Lonchura striata: one gene and its partner. The protein of the gene in region 2 interacts with the protein of the main gene of each other region in a biochemical or structural test. Links are inferred from orthologs where the notes say so. Each region holds a gene or a part of one and is shown on either strand. Other genes may lie near its edges.

Region 1 (7,672 bases), on a different chromosome or scaffold from region 2:
GCAGAGCTGTGTCTGCACCACAGGCAGAACTGGGACAGAGCCCTGAGAGATCCCTGGGATGGGACACCGGGGTCTGAGCCCTCCTGCCTGGCACAGGCGCTGCAAACTGTGCTGGCCCCACCCTCTGCATCCCCAAGCCCATCACAGCACCAAGCAGCCCCCTGCCTCCACCAGGACAGGGCAATGCTTCTGGAGCCCCCCAGGCTTCGCCCAGGCTCCATCCCCTCCCTCCCAGCCTCTCACTCTGGATGCTGTCCAGCTGCAGGCCCATGATGAAGCCATTCTGGTCCAGGCTCTTCCTCAGGCGCTGCTCGGCAGCGTCGGGAGTGACGGCATCGCTTCCGTTCCCAAACACGAGGGTGGACTGGACCTCCACCGAGCCTTGGCTGCACAGGAGGAGGCATCAGCACCCGGATTGCCCCCTGAGGAGCTACAAACCGGGGGGGTACACTGCAGGACAGCAGCCCTGCTGGCGCTGCTGCTGCTCACCTGTAGCGCAGCTCGCTGCACCCGGTGTAGGTCTGCGTGCCCATGCAGCCCGTGCAGCCGAAGACGTGTTCGAACTGGAAGGAAGCACTGAGGTCACGGCCACCTCCCCACGGACACAGACACCCCCCTTTCCTGTCTCCATGCAGAACTGGCAGAACGGATGCTCCAGGTGCTTCCACGGAAAGCCACGAGGTGAGGGGGCTCCTTCCCAGCACATCTACCCCAAGGTGAGGGAGCTCCTTCCCAGCACGGCCCCAAATCTCTGTCCCAGGGTGAGGGGGCTCCTTCCCAGCACATCTACCCCAAGGTGAGGGGGCTCCTTCCCAGCACGGCCCCAAGGTGAGGGGGCTCCTTCCCAGCATGGCCCCAAATCTCTGCCCCAAGGTGAGGGGGCTCCTTCCCAGCACACCCCAAATCTCTGCCCCAAGGTGAGGGGGCTCCTTCCCAGCACATCTGCCCCAAGGTGAGTGGGCTCCTTCCCAGCAGAGCCTCAAATCTCTGTCCCAGGGTGAGGGGGATCCTTCCCAGCATGGCCCCAAATCTCTGCCCCAGGGTGAGGGGGATCCTTCCCAGCCAGCCCAGGGTCTCTGCTGGTGGGGCTGGGACTCACCATGGCCAGGACAGTGCGGCTCAGGCTCCTGTACTCCTCCGATGCCGGGTCTCGCAGGCTCTCGTTGAAGCTCCTGTTGATGATGCGGAAGGACAGCGGGACACGGACAAGCAGCTGGATGCCAGCTGGGGTTTTGCTGGGGTTGGGACCACCCCGGGTGGGGGTCTGCCCAGGAGCCGTGCTGCCCTCGGACGTTATCTGGGTGGGAAAGACCTGAGCGCTGGTGCTGCCGTTGCCTTTGGCGCTGCCAAAGTGCGTGGTGGTGGGGGTGGCAGAGCTGCCGTTGGTGCCAAAGTGGGGCACCCAGCTGCTGCTGTTGGAGGTGGCATTGGCATGGGGGATGGCTGGGCTGCTGTGGACGGGCACCACGGTGCCGTTGGACATGGAGCGGTTGCCAAACTGGAAGTTCGTGGTGTTTGTGCCAGGGAATGCAGTGGCATAGGGGATGACGGAGGTTTGGGGCCGGCTGCCCCGTGTGCTTTTGGGGTATATATTTGGCAGCCAGGTGGTGCTGGTGGTTTCCGTGGTCATCTCCACGGTGGTCGTTTCGGTAGTTTCCATCTCCATGGTTGTCTCGGTGGTCGTGGCACGGGTACCTGGAGGAAACCCCAGGAGTCAACGGCTGCAGCCCAGTTAGGGAAGGTTTCACCCAAAACAGCTCATCAGCTGGACGCTGTGGGAAGCACCACAACCCCCAGGAACCAAGAGCCAGTTGCTCACGAGGCTAACCCCACCAGCAACACCCCACGGCTGGGCACTTGTGGCACCACCGAGGGTCCAGGTGGAGCTGGCTGGGCACTGACACCGGTGCCACACCCAGCACTGCAGACCCTGGGGCGTCCCTGACATGCGGGGGGCTCAGGCATGCCACCCAACAAAGCCCCCCTTGCTGTGGGGGACAGGCTGGGCTGCCCCTGTGCCCTCCAGACTGGCTGGGGGCCAGTACAGGCAGCTCCCGGGCAAGTTCCCAGGGGTGCTGCAGGCAGCACTGGAGGAGAGCCCGGGGTCCGGATGCTCACCGGGACACACCTGCATTCCAGCCCGCAAGCCCCGGGCACAGCCTGCTCCGGCTGCTCCCGGCACAGCCCGGCCCTCGGCCGAGCCCTTCGGACGCGGCAGAGGGGCCGCGCTCTGAGCCCCCGGGTGCCAGCTTTCCTGGGCACAGCCGGGGCGCTGCACCCCAGAGCCAGAACGGGACAGGTGACAACGGCGCTGCTGCCAGGATGCCAGCGGGTCCAGGATCCCCCGGTGCCCGCTTTGAAAGGGATCCCGTTCCTCTCTCCCTGCCCCCAGCCCCTCACCTGTGCCCACCACCAGCAGCAGCAGCAAGACGGGGAACGCCATGTGGGGCTTGTCCGGGGGTCCCGGCGCCTCCTGGGGCTCAGCAGCGGCTGCTCTCCCGTTAGCCGGTGGCTGGCACACGCCTCGGTCCAGCAGGGATCCGGAACTGGCAGCGCGGCAGCGGCCGGAGCTTTATGGAGCACCTGGGGCAGGTGGGGCGGCCCCGCCCCGCCCGGCTGCGGGCAGGGGGGGTCGTTCTGCCCCGCTTGGCACAGGGGTGCCACCGTGCCCACGGGGCCCCCGCGGCATCAGCCCCCCCAAGCTGGGTCTGTCGCGCCTCCCTGGCTCGGGGAGGCGCCGCCGGCAGCGTCCCGGTGCCACGGGCAGAGAGCCGCGGGCGGGGGCACGGGGCGCGAAGGTAGCCGGGCATCCCGGGGAAGGGGTGGGAGCAGCATCTGCCTGGGATGAGCCACGGGCTCCAGAGCCTGGTGGGGGGCACGGGGTGGGCACGGAGTCCCCTGGTGCAGGAGGGGCCTCGTCCTCTGCTCAGCCCAGGGTTAATCATTACCGGCTGGGCATCGCCTCGCCCAAATAAACACCGGTGACCCCCCCGAAACGCTTACGCAGGTACAGCCCAGGGCCCCACGACACCCCAGTACCTCCCAGGAACCTCCCTCCGGGTGCCAGGGCCCCCCTAGCAGGCACAAAGCCCCGTCCCAGGACACGGGTGATGCCAGTGCTGGGTGTCAATGCCCCACCCCAGAGGTGACGGGCACCGCCCGTGCCTGGGCGCAGGTGACTTGTGCTCCTGGCACGGACGGGCATCAAAAGCTACCGTGGTCCCACTCTGCCCCTGCCCTGCAGGAATTCCTGAGAGCCCCAATCTCTCAGGAGGGTGCTGATTCCTGTGAGGATCCCAGTCCCTGGGGAGGTCGTGGTCCCCACGCTCGGCTCCTGGCCAGCCTCACGCGAAGCCAAAGTGCCACTGCTGTCACTCCAAAGGGTTCTGAGGTGGTGCTGAGAAGGGGAGCAGAGAGGGGGGCCTGGGCACTGAGGCTGAGGGTGGATGCCCTGGGTGTCAGCTCAGCAACGGGACCCAGCAGCGCCCTGCTCCCCCCACGGTGGCCACAGCCTCGGCAAGGCCGGCCACGTGCGGGCAGCAGCTCTGGGCAAACATTTCCTTCCCAAAAGGCCTCACTGTTGCGGAAGATAGATAAATAGGATTATCCATAAATAACCCAGCCAGGATGAGAACAGTTCTCCCAGCTAGCCGGACAACGCCCCTGCCTACGGATGGGTCCTGGGGTCAGGAAGACTGTTCCATCTCACCCCCCAAAAGATGTACGGCTCACCCCACACCTGTATTCCCTCCCCTAAAACATCAGTGGGGTTACAGGCACCCCATTGGCCCGAGCCTTGTTCCAACCCACCTTGAAGCTCCTTGAAAAGGGGGCTTCGAGGGGCCACGCAGTCTCTTGGAACTCCCTCCCTTCTCTTGGAACTCCCTCCCCTCTCTTGGATCCTCCTATCTCCTTGAGCATCCTTTTGTCTCTCCTTCCCCACCCTCTCAAACCCTGCCACATGCTTGGAGCACGAGGCAGGACCCTTCTGCATCCCCAAAAAACCTCATTCTCCAAGAGCAAACTTCAGAGATCTCTTGCTTCAATTCAGCCAAACCGTCCTGGAGATGCAGCAATTTTCTACACCTCACCAGGGGAATGGCTCTCCCCACGCAGTGCTGCTGAGCCCTGCTGCCCTCTGCTCCAGCCCGAATCCCCCACCCTGCTCAGCTCGGGGGGCTTTGCTCTGAGCCTCCCCACGAGGGGGGGGCTGAGGGGGTCCCAGCAACTGCGGTCACCCACCAGCCCTGGGAGAGAGGCCATGTGCCCACCCTGTCCATGCCCAGTGGGGTGCCCACCCTGTCCATGTCCAGTGGGTTCCATGTGCCCACCCTGTCCATGCCCAGTGGGTTCCCATGGTGCCCGGTGAGATCCCTGCATCCGCCCTGTTCGTGCCCGGTGTTTCCTCTGTGCCCACCCTGTCTGTGCCTGGTGTTTCCCCTGTGTCCAGCCTGTCCGTGCCCAGTAAATCCTTGTGCCCACCCTGTCCGTGCCCGGTGTTCCCCTGTGCTCACCGTGTCCGAGCCCGGTAAATCCTTGTGTCCAGCCTGTCCATGCCCGGTGTTTCCTCTGTGCCCACCCTGTCCATGCCCAGTGTTTCCCCTGTGCCCGCCCTGTCCATGCCCGGTGTTTCCCCTGTGCCCACCCTGTCCGTGCCCAGTAAATCCCTGTGCCCACCCTGTCCATGCCCCGTGTTTCCCCTGTGCCCATGCTGTCCGTGCCCGGTAAATCCTTGTGTCCAGCCCGTCCGTGCCCGGTAAATCCCCGTGTCCGCCCTGTCCGTGCCCGGTGTTTCCCCTGTGCCCATGCTGTCCGTGCCCGGTAAATCCTTGTGTCCAGCCTGTCCGTGCCCGGTAAATCCCTGTGTCCGCCCTGTCCGTGCCCGGTAAATCCCCGTGTCCGCCCTGTCCGTGCCCAGTAAATCCTTGTGCCAAGCCTGTCCATGCCTGGTGTTTCCCCTGTGCCCATGCTGTCCGTGCCCGGTAAATCCTTGTGTCCAGCCCGTCCATGCCCGGTAAATCCCTGTGCCCACCCTGTCCGTGCCCGGTGTTTCCCCTGTGCCCATGCTGTCCGTGCCCGGTAAATCCTTGTGTCCAGCCTGTCCGTGCCCGGTAAATCCCCGTGTCCGCCCTGTCCGTGCCCGGTAAATCCCTGTGCCAAGCCTGTCCGTGCCCGGTAAATCCCTGTGCCCACCCTGTCCGTGCCCGGTAAATCCCTGTGCCCACCCTGTCCGTGCCCGGTAAATCCCTGTGTCCGCCCTGTCCGTGCCCGGTAAATCCCTGTGCCCACCCTGTCCGTGCCCGGTAAATCCCCGTGTCCGCCCTGTCCGTGCCCGGTAAATCCCCGTGTCCGCCCTGTCCGTGCCCGGGGGTCCCAGCCCGCCCCGTCCCCGCCCCGCCCGAACCTGCGGCGCCCCCTGGCGGGCACCGCCCCGCACGACGCTCCCGCCGCGCACCGGGACCGGGACCGGGACCAGAACCGGGACCGGGAGGGGGAACGGGACCTCTACTGGAGTGAGACCAGGAGCGTGACAGGGACTGGGATTGGAGCGAGAGCGGGAACGCTGCTGGAAAGAAACCGGGAGCGGAATCGGGAATCGACTGCAGTAATGCAGAGCGGGAGTGAGACCGATACTGGAGCGAAACGGGAGCGGGAGAGGGAGCAGGAGCGGAGTCGGGAACGGTGCTGGACCGGGATCGGAGAGGGAGCAGAAGAAGGACCGGAACAGGAACGGGAACCGCGTTTCCCCGCGGGAGGAGGCGCTCAGCAGCCAGCGCTGATTTCACCTGTCCCGGTACTCCCGGGGAGAGCCGGCTGCGCTCCCGCCGCGGCCTCGGGGACGGGCACAGGCCCCAGCCGCGGTCCCGGTCCCAACACCGGAGGGCACCCCCGCGTTGCCCTTTTAAGAGGGGCCCGGTGCCGCCGCGCCCATTGTCGCCGCCGCCGCCGCCGCGGGGCGGGGGGGCCGGGCCGGTGCCGGGGCCGCGCGCTCCGGGGCGGGCGGGATGGGGTGGGGGGGGTTGGGGGCACATTCCGCCGCGTTGCCGGGACAGCCGTCGCCGTGGCGACCGGTCCCTGCCGCCGAGCCGCGGTGCGCGCCGCGCAGTTCCCACGGAGCGGCCCGGGCGGCGGCGGCGGCTCCGCTCCCTCCGGGGCGGCGGGAGGGCCGGGATGCGGTGCAGTGTTGTGCTCTCGCCCACCAATATTGCACTCGTCCCGGCCTCCCGCCGCCGCGGGCTGCGCCTGTGGGACCGGCCGGGCGCTGACCCAACCCCGCGACCACCGGGAGGACGGCGCGGGACGGAGCCGCGAGCACGGGGGGGGGGGACCCACGGCCCTCCCGGGCCAGCGGGAACCCCCAGGGACCGGGCGCGCAGGGTTAGAAAACACTCAAAACTTTATGGCCAGGCGTGGGGCAAGGACCGGAGCGCCCGGGGCAGGCGTGGCGGGAGCCCCGGCACTGCGGGGCCCCGGTACTGGCAGTGCAAAGTCCGCGGGGGGCCGGGAACGGGGCCCGGCCGGGAGGAGCGGCGGGGCCCGGTGCGCCCCCGGGTGCCGCCGGTGGCGAGAGCCCGGAGCGCCACCGGTGCCGCCGGCGGGGGAGGCCCGTGCCGGGCGCGGTCACTCGCGTCCCTCCAGCAGGAACCGGCGGAAGGGCTCGAAGTCGGCAGGGATCGTGTCTGTGGGGAGCAGCGCGGGGGGCGTCAGGAGCCGGCGGGGGCAGCGAGCCCCGGTAAAGCCCCCGGCCCGGGACTGAGCCCGCCGAGGGGCGAGCGAGGGGATGCTCGGCCGGCCGCCGGGCCGGTGCGGGGGTCCCGGGGGGCCCTGCTCACCGTTGCAGCGGTACTGCAGGTTGGACCAGATGATGTTCTCCTGGGAGAAGCAGAAGACCCCCAGCCGGCCCCCGCGCATCGTGGTGTCGATGATCACACCGGAGTCGGCCACCAGCTGCGGGCCCTCGTACAGACGGACCCTGCGGGGGAACGGGGCCCGACCGGTCAGCGAGCCCTCCCCGGGACCCCGCCGGTACCCGACCGGGGCCAACAGCGGGATCCTACTGGGACCCCCCCACGACCAGCACCGGCCGCCGGGCATCCCGACCGGGAGACGGTAGCGCCGGGCATCCCGACCGGGGGACGGTAGCGCCGGGAGGAAACCGGCGCACCCTGCGGGATCCTCGGGCCGGGGGCACCGGACCGGCTGGATCCTCGGGCCGGGGCCCCCCGCCGTGGCCGGGCTGAAGCCCCCCGCGCCGCCCCCGGCCCGGCCCCGCCGCTTTTGTCGGGCGCTTTGCATGTGAAAGGCGCCGGCGGGGTCGCCATGGCGACGGGACAATGGCCCCGGGGGCCCGGGGGGCGGAGGGCCCGGCGGCGGAGCCCCCCCGCCGCGGCCGCCCCGGCGGGAGCCTTAAAGGAGAAACGCGGCTGCGGTCCCACCGGGCAGAAGCCCCCGCCACGCCCGAAATCTCCCCACTGCGGTGGTCTCACGGGGCTGGCTGCTTCCCACGGCCGGTATCCCCACACTGCGGTGGTCCCGCAGGGCTGCATCCCCCGCACGGCCGGCATCCCCTCACTAGGGTGGTCCCGGGAGGCACGAGGCCTCCTCATGGACATCCTGCTACCCCCTGAGGTGCTTCTGCAGGGCAGAATCCTTGGTTATCACAAGGGCCGGG
Region 2 (6,941 bases):
TCCTTGAATGTGGTTCTCTTGCTTTGTTCTGACATTTTTTTCCAGACAGCAGAAGGACCAGGAGCACATGACTAGAGCGACTGGGGGGGTTATCACAAGTGCATGCGCTTTATGTTACGGCCTTTGTTTCTCCCTCAGTTGTTATACACTTGGGATTGAATCATATTTGCAAACTTGTTCGTCTGCATCAGTTAGCACCCTCTTCACAGGCAAGCATCTGTCTAGTCTTTGACCTCAAATAAACGGGAAAGGAGTATCAATGACCTTTCAAGAATCAAGCTGCAGAGCCTGAATAAGACATATTTAGTTGCTGAGTATGACAGGTTGAGGTCTCGCTTGGTTTAGACAGCCACCTGCAGAAATAGTGACCAACAAGACCCGTTTTCCATTCCACAGGCACATAAAGAAGTCAGTAAATTAAAATGGAGTCACCCACAGTTCTCCTCCATATAGATCAATAATCCTTAATAAATACCAATGCTGGACCTGATCAAACCTACGCTTTTGTGCTGCTAAAATAGGTTAACTGCACCCATGGTTTTTGGAGGGTTGCACTGATCATGCAGATACAAGGTGGACTACAGCACCTGAGCCAAATGGTCTCTTCAAGGTTTCAACCACAGGGGAAGACATTTCAGTACAAAAAACCTGTCAAAATTTCTCATCTGTCAAAAAGCTCACAATCTCCCAGTGCTTTGGCATGAAATGGACTAGCCCCTTCGCTGGATGCAGGCATGTACCCGCAGAGCCATGTCAGGTGTGGCTTTAACCGAATATCAAATAGATCAATTGAATGGGAATGCATATTGAGCATTCCTGGTCTCATAAAAATGTCATCCTGCATTTCCGTAAGAAAAAAGAAGATATCTCTAAAAACTACTATGTTCATATGAATCTGGAAGAACAATTCAGGTCTTAATGTGACCATATTCAAATCAGGAGTAAAGAAATTCCATATGATAAGCACATAGCTGAACTATAGCAACTCAGAACTGGGCCTTTTTGTATCAGCACAGTACATTTGTGCAGGTTTAATTAATATTTTTAATTCACATAAACCAGCTAACCCCATCAGATAGAATACGAAGAATGGGCACACATTAAGCATTTCTGACATGTCTGTGCAGAATAAAGCACAGGCCTCGTTCTTAAAAAATATTCCTCTGATCAGAAAATTGGAAAAATAATGCCAAGCTTGACATGTGAGCCCATGGAGTAGTTATTTCAAAATGAGCATTTTCTTATGCCTTCTTCTGAGCATTTTACCAGAGCCTGGAGGATATTAGAGACACCTTTTGTAAGCTCCCCTCCCCCTCCTTTTTTTTTTTTTTTTTTTAATGGGCTGGACTAAAAGGTGCTCACACCCGAACTACGGGTGCATGGAAAAACCTTCCATGCTCTCTCCCCTTAACAGCCAGGAGTGCTTTTAAAAAAAAAAACTCCAAAAAAACCACATAATGAACGTGAATGTCACGGTCATACCTGTGTGCCCGCAATTCGTTTCCTCCTTTCGGTGGGAGGAGGGGGCGAATGAAAAGGAAATAGAGACTACGGAGCTTCCAATCCGTTTCACAAAGGGGGGGGAAAATGGCTTTTTAATGAGGCAGAGGCCGCTGGCAGCGACCAGGAGCTAAGGACGAGGACAAACCCATCGGGATTTTCCGTCCAGCAGGCCCCGAACGGAGCGGCGGCGTGCGCCTATTCAAGGTTAATGGGGGGGGAAGGGGAGAGAAAGGAGCTGCCGAGGCCGGGGCTGGGGCCAGGCTCCCTTCGCCGCTCCCCGCCTGGGCGAAGGGCGGGGGCAGCCTCGCCGGCCCTCACCCCCCAACCCGAGCGGGGCAGGATACTCACGGCTGACTTTCATGCTGCCGAAGGCCGAGGGCTGCTGCACAGGCTTGCAGCTCTCCGCGAAGGAGGTGGTCCTGGGCCGCCCGGACATGGTCTCTCCCGCTCTGCCCCAACGGCGATCACCTCTCTCCTCTTCCTGCCTTCGCCCTCCGCCTCGCCCCGGCGGGCCCGCCTGCCGCTCCCTCGCTCGCTCAGCTGCAGGAGACGGGTGGGACGCGCCACATGAAACGCCGGGACCCCCCCTTCCCCCCCCGGGGAAGCCCCCTCCCCTCTCGGTCTCTGCCGCCCGGCGGGTGCTTCTTCTTCTCCTGCCTCCTCCTGCTCCTCCTCACGCCGCCCGCTCCTCACACGACCATCCTTCCCGGCCGCGCCGGTGGGACCGAGAGCCGCCTCCCCCCGGCGCCGCTCCCGAGCGAGGGGGGTTCGCTGGGCCTCGCTGCCCCCACCCCGGGCGCCAGTCACATGGGGCGGAGGCTCGCGGCCCGGCTCCTCCGATCCCGCCGCCGCCGCGCTTCTCTCCTTTTATTTGCTTTAGCTCTTTTTTTCCCCTTTTCTTCTTTTTCTTCCTTCTCTTCCTTCCCCCCTCCCCGTTCCTCTCCTTCCCCCTCGCCTCTGAGGGAGGCGGCAGGCAACGGGACTATTTTTTTCCCTGGCGGAGGGATCTCGGGGCACAGCCGAGCGGAGGCGATGCGGCACCGAGTCGCAATAGGATCCGGTGGTGGCGGCGGGATCCGCGGCGCGCGGAGGGGGGTGAGGCGGTCGGGCGGCCTCGCTGCTCGCTGACGCTGCTGCTCAGTGCGGCGCTGAGGCGGCGGCGGCTCCGGCGGTGCGGCCGCTCATTCCGCCCGCACGGGCAGCTGGCGGTGGCTCAGGCAGGGCACGCTGCACTGCGGCCGGCGGCCGGCGGCAACGGCAGGGGCCATGACGGCGGCGATTTCCCTGCTCCTCGTCAGCCCGGCTTCAGAGCGCTGACGGCGGTTGCTGCTTTTGCTGCTGCTTCCCCAGGCGTCCAAGGCACATAGGACTCGTCCGCCCGGCTGAAGTCTCCCGCCGGGCCCCCCTCCCAGTTCCTGCCGATCAGTCCCTTTGTCCCCGCTGCTCCCTCCGCTGCGTGCCGGGCTCCCGCCGCTGCGCTCTGTGCGTGCGCCAAAGCCGCGCAGCCGCCCGTGCCCGCCGCCGCCCCACGCTGCGGAGCAGCCGTAAGCGCCGTCTGTGAATACCCGGCCGAAGAACCCGGCGCGCCCGCGAGCCCCCGGCCCGAGGCCGTTACGGAAACGCCCGAGCCTTATCGGGACCAATCCTCAGGCCGTTACAAGAATGCCTGTAACTGGGCGGAACCAATCACGGAACCACGGCGGGCACGACCGATTCTCCCCGAAGTGAAGCGGAGACCCAATCGGAGCACGCCGCCGCCGCCCTAGCAGCGCGGGCGGGCGGCCAATGGAAAGGAGGGCTCTCTTCCGGCCATCGCCGGGCCAACCCGAGTGGAGCCGAGGAGGGAGAGCCAATCAGGGGCCGCGCTGCCTCCGTCACCCAGCCCTGGGACGTCTTCGAGCCGCAGCCCGAGGCGGAGAGCGGCCGCGGGCAGCGATTGGCTGCCGGCGATGAGGCTGCCTGCAGGGGACCAATCGCGAGGCGCAGGGCCACGGGCGCGCCCGCTCCCGGCGGGGCACGGCCGCGCGCCTCTGTGGGGGCCGGGGGAGGGCAGCGCGCATGCGCAGCGCGGCCGGGCACCGCCCCTCAGGCGCGCCCCCGCGGCCCGTCCCGCCGGGAGCGGGTTTGGGGCGGTACGAAAGGAAACTCGAAATCGTGGGGTTTGTGCCTAAAACCCGTCAGGCGCAGAGATGTTGCGGTTCTGCTTCACTGAGCTGTGAAGGAAATGGCGCTGACGCGCGCAGTGCTGTCATAGAATCATAGAACGGTTTGGGTTGGAACGGCTCTTCAGGACCCTGCAGTTCCCACCCCTCTGCCATGGGCAGGGACACTTTTCACTAGACCAGGTTGCTCCAAACCCATCCAACCTAGCCTTGAACATTTCCAGGGATGGGGCAACCACAACTCCTCCGTGTAGCCTGTTCCAATGTCTCAACACCCTCATGTAAAGAATTTCTTCTGAGTATCTATCTAACCCTACCCTCTTTCAGTTTGAAGCCACCCCTTTTGCGTGAGAAGCTGACAAGCTCTTGTGGACAGTCCCTCTGCAGATTTCTGGCAGGAGACAAGAGGCTGGAACAGTCATGGATGTGGTTCATGAAGCAACGGTGAACCCGTTCTACACAAACTGGGCCAAGCAGGGGAAAGAAGATCAAGGCTCTCATAGAAAGTCCTCCCAATTCAGCTGTTAACAGCAAGGCTTCCTCACAGGAAACGCAGTTTGTAGTGAGGCACTAAACACCCTCAGAGTTAGGTCCCACTGCCACCACAGTGGATTGAGCTTGGCCCTGGCTGGAGTTCCAGGCACTGTTCTGGAAGAACTTGTCCTTCTTCAGGGCTCTGGAGCATCCCTGGGGGCAGCAGCTCCCAGCCCTGGCACAACCAGCACTGGAGCACTGCTGCCTGCTGTGAACTCAGTGAAATTACTCGGCAGACATCAGCAAAAACTGAGCACCACTTGCTTATGCCATTAAAAAGAAAAAAAAAAAAAAGTGCTCTTGCCAGAATAGTTTATACCACAAACAAAATAACTTGGACTAGTAGAAACATTTTGCCAGTGTTAGAGACTTAGACTGCTGTTTTCTTTTAAGGCATCAAAATATTGCCAGATTTACTTTTTTTGCAGCCCTGTTCTGAACACTATTGCTATGTGACCAAACAAAGACCTGGCCAAAGGCAGCTGAAATTTATCATTTACAAGAGCTGTTTTCTAAAGCCAAAAACAAACCCAGTCTCTCAAAATGGTCCTGTTCAGCACTTTGCTCACCCTGGGGTGGTTGGCTTGCTGGAAGCCTTTTTTCCTGCCGAATAATGATGAGTGGTTTTACCTACTACAAAGGCCATGGGACTGTTTAAGGTTTGATTATTCAGGCTCTACCTGTGCAGCTCTACAGCTGGGAACCTGACAGGTGAGAGTGGTGTGCCCTAGCAAGCGCTAAGACACTGAAGTCACAGCATAGGAGTGCTACTGCAGCCACCCCAAGCCACCCTACCATAACTCATTGTTCCAACCCCCCTCTGAGACACCACTGTGTCAAATGTTACTTAGACACAGCTTCAATGAGCTTCCAACAGTGAAAATGACATTTTCTCTCCTGTTTGGAAGAGCAGTTGTCAAAAATTAGGGTTATAGATTGGGTTAGCTCTCTGAAGAGCATTCTTACATAAAACAACAAAGTAAATATGCCACTAGGCAGTGGCCAGCTCTCTTGTACCTGAAATGTACCACCAGGCATTCCAGTCATTATTTTTTCTGGCTTTGGGCATCAAATTGCTAACACAAATCACATTTTCTTATTTTCTGACAAAGTTCTTTCAAATTACTATGTAAACAGGAGAACGGACTTCGGAGAGACAGCCGAGCTTTGTTTCTTGAAAAATTTGGCAGTCTGAAAAAACAGCAGGTGGGGGAGGGTGAGCTCTTTGTTTTTCAACATTTGCTGTTAGTCATGATAGTGGTAAATAAAAGTCAGACCGATGCATAATTTATACTGATGGTGCCCATTTGAAAAATGTCCCTTAAAGCTTCGTAATGAATCTACAACCTGATAAAAAAAATGGGAAATCAACTTCATTTACTTACAGAAAACAAGCTACTGCATGAAAATAAGTTTTTGCTTGTCTTCCTCTATCTGGTAAACCTTTATCTGGTTTATTTCTCTAAAATCACCCTGTTTCCTCTTCAATACCAAAGTAATCTATATCAAAACCACAACTTGGTTGCTTCTAATAACACTTTTCTGAATACCAAGCCTACCCATCCACAGGGGGAATGCATATTACAAAAATCCCAGCTGCAGTATTTCATATTTGGCAATCCTGCACATATTTCCATTTCATAATTAAGCAACCAAGTCTCCAAAGCCCGTCCATTCAAGTTGTAGCATCTTCTTATCCACTAGGAAACCACAACTGTGTTTTAAAGGAAAATTGTGATATATTTGAGGGGATGGAAAAGCATAAAGCACCTCCAATTTCTGTTGGTCTTTTCATAGATTCTTTCCTGAACTAAGACTACTCTCAGAAAAACCTTAAACACACAATAAGGGCATCTATTAAGCTTTCATCATCAATTTCAAAAATCTTCTGACAAAATAATTTGTGAGAGTCATGAGTGAGCTAGTTGCCTTTTTAGACTGAAAGATTCTCTTTTGACAACATTGCAAAGTCCATATTTATTTTTGGCCCCTTGGCTGCTGAAATGACCTCCCTTTAGAATCTGCAAATATAAATAGAATTGACGCTTTAATTATCAGTTTTCACATGCTATTATAATCCAGCATCCCAAGCATCAATATTGTTCTAAGTCTGGATGCATGGGGCAGTTTTACAGCTGCCATGTCTCTGTAATGTGCAAGTGCCCAAGGAGGTTGCCTGAATATGTGAAGTGTCCGAGAAAAATTACTGAGGTGTTATCTCTCTGAAATGCCATAAGGTGGCAGTGAATTGGAAAATTGGTACCACTTCTGGGTAAAAAGCTCTAAGGAGCTCAGGAGAAGAGTAGGGGAGGGGTTTTGTTTGCTTCTTTAGGGGTTTTCTTTTGTCTGTTTGCATTTCATATATCAACAATAAACTTCAATCATTCTAATCAGACACTGAATAAGCCTGCTCCAACAGGAACTGGTAGACATGTTCCTGCACAGGAGTTCCTGCTGTTTTCTTTCTGCATTGCTTCCTTTCCAAGTGATCAGCAGGAAGATTTTCTGTTTGCTTACCTTGCACCTCTTGCTGGGTCATTCCACCAGAAGGCATGGTTACAGGCCTACCTCTTGCTAGTCTGATAAGCATGCAATGATTCAAGGCTTTTTTGAACCTTGCTATACAAGAGAATCTAAATTATATTAATGGATCTACCAGTCTTGTATCTAACTCCTTGATATTGCTAAGGCAATTATCCACAGAACAATTTAGTGAGACATTGTAATGGTTTGTCTCTTGTT

The links. The genes of interacting proteins can lie anywhere in the genome.
Region 1: the proteins of GSK3B (region 2) and MUC1 form a complex in vitro, tested with the Homo sapiens proteins (2 studies listed by BioGRID). The link is inferred for Lonchura striata from reciprocal best matches to the Homo sapiens genes GSK3B and MUC1.

What each region holds. Positions count from the first base shown.
Region 1 is NC_134635.1:1,755,665-1,763,336, forward strand, and holds the start of MUC1 (mucin-1), read right to left. Parts: upstream 3,039-7,672; 5' UTR 2,444-3,038; coding exon 2,401-2,443; intron 1,696-2,400; coding exon 1,100-1,695; intron 564-1,099; coding exon 490-563; intron 387-489; coding exon 244-386; intron 7-243; coding exon 1-6. Other genes in the region: THBS3 (thrombospondin-3), read right to left, coding at 6,622-6,680, 6,834-6,973. UniProt on the Homo sapiens protein: The alpha subunit has cell adhesive properties. Can act both as an adhesion and an anti-adhesion protein. May provide a protective layer on epithelial cells against bacterial and enzyme attack.
Region 2 is NC_134604.1:27,532,737-27,539,677, forward strand, and holds the start of GSK3B (glycogen synthase kinase-3 beta), read right to left. Parts: upstream 3,058-6,941; 5' UTR 1,940-3,057; coding exon 1,852-1,939; intron 1-1,851. UniProt on the Homo sapiens protein: Constitutively active protein kinase that acts as a negative regulator in the hormonal control of glucose homeostasis, Wnt signaling and regulation of transcription factors and microtubules, by phosphorylating and inactivating glycogen synthase (GYS1 or GYS2), EIF2B, CTNNB1/beta-catenin, APC, AXIN1, DPYSL2/CRMP2, JUN, NFATC1/NFATC, MAPT/TAU and MACF1.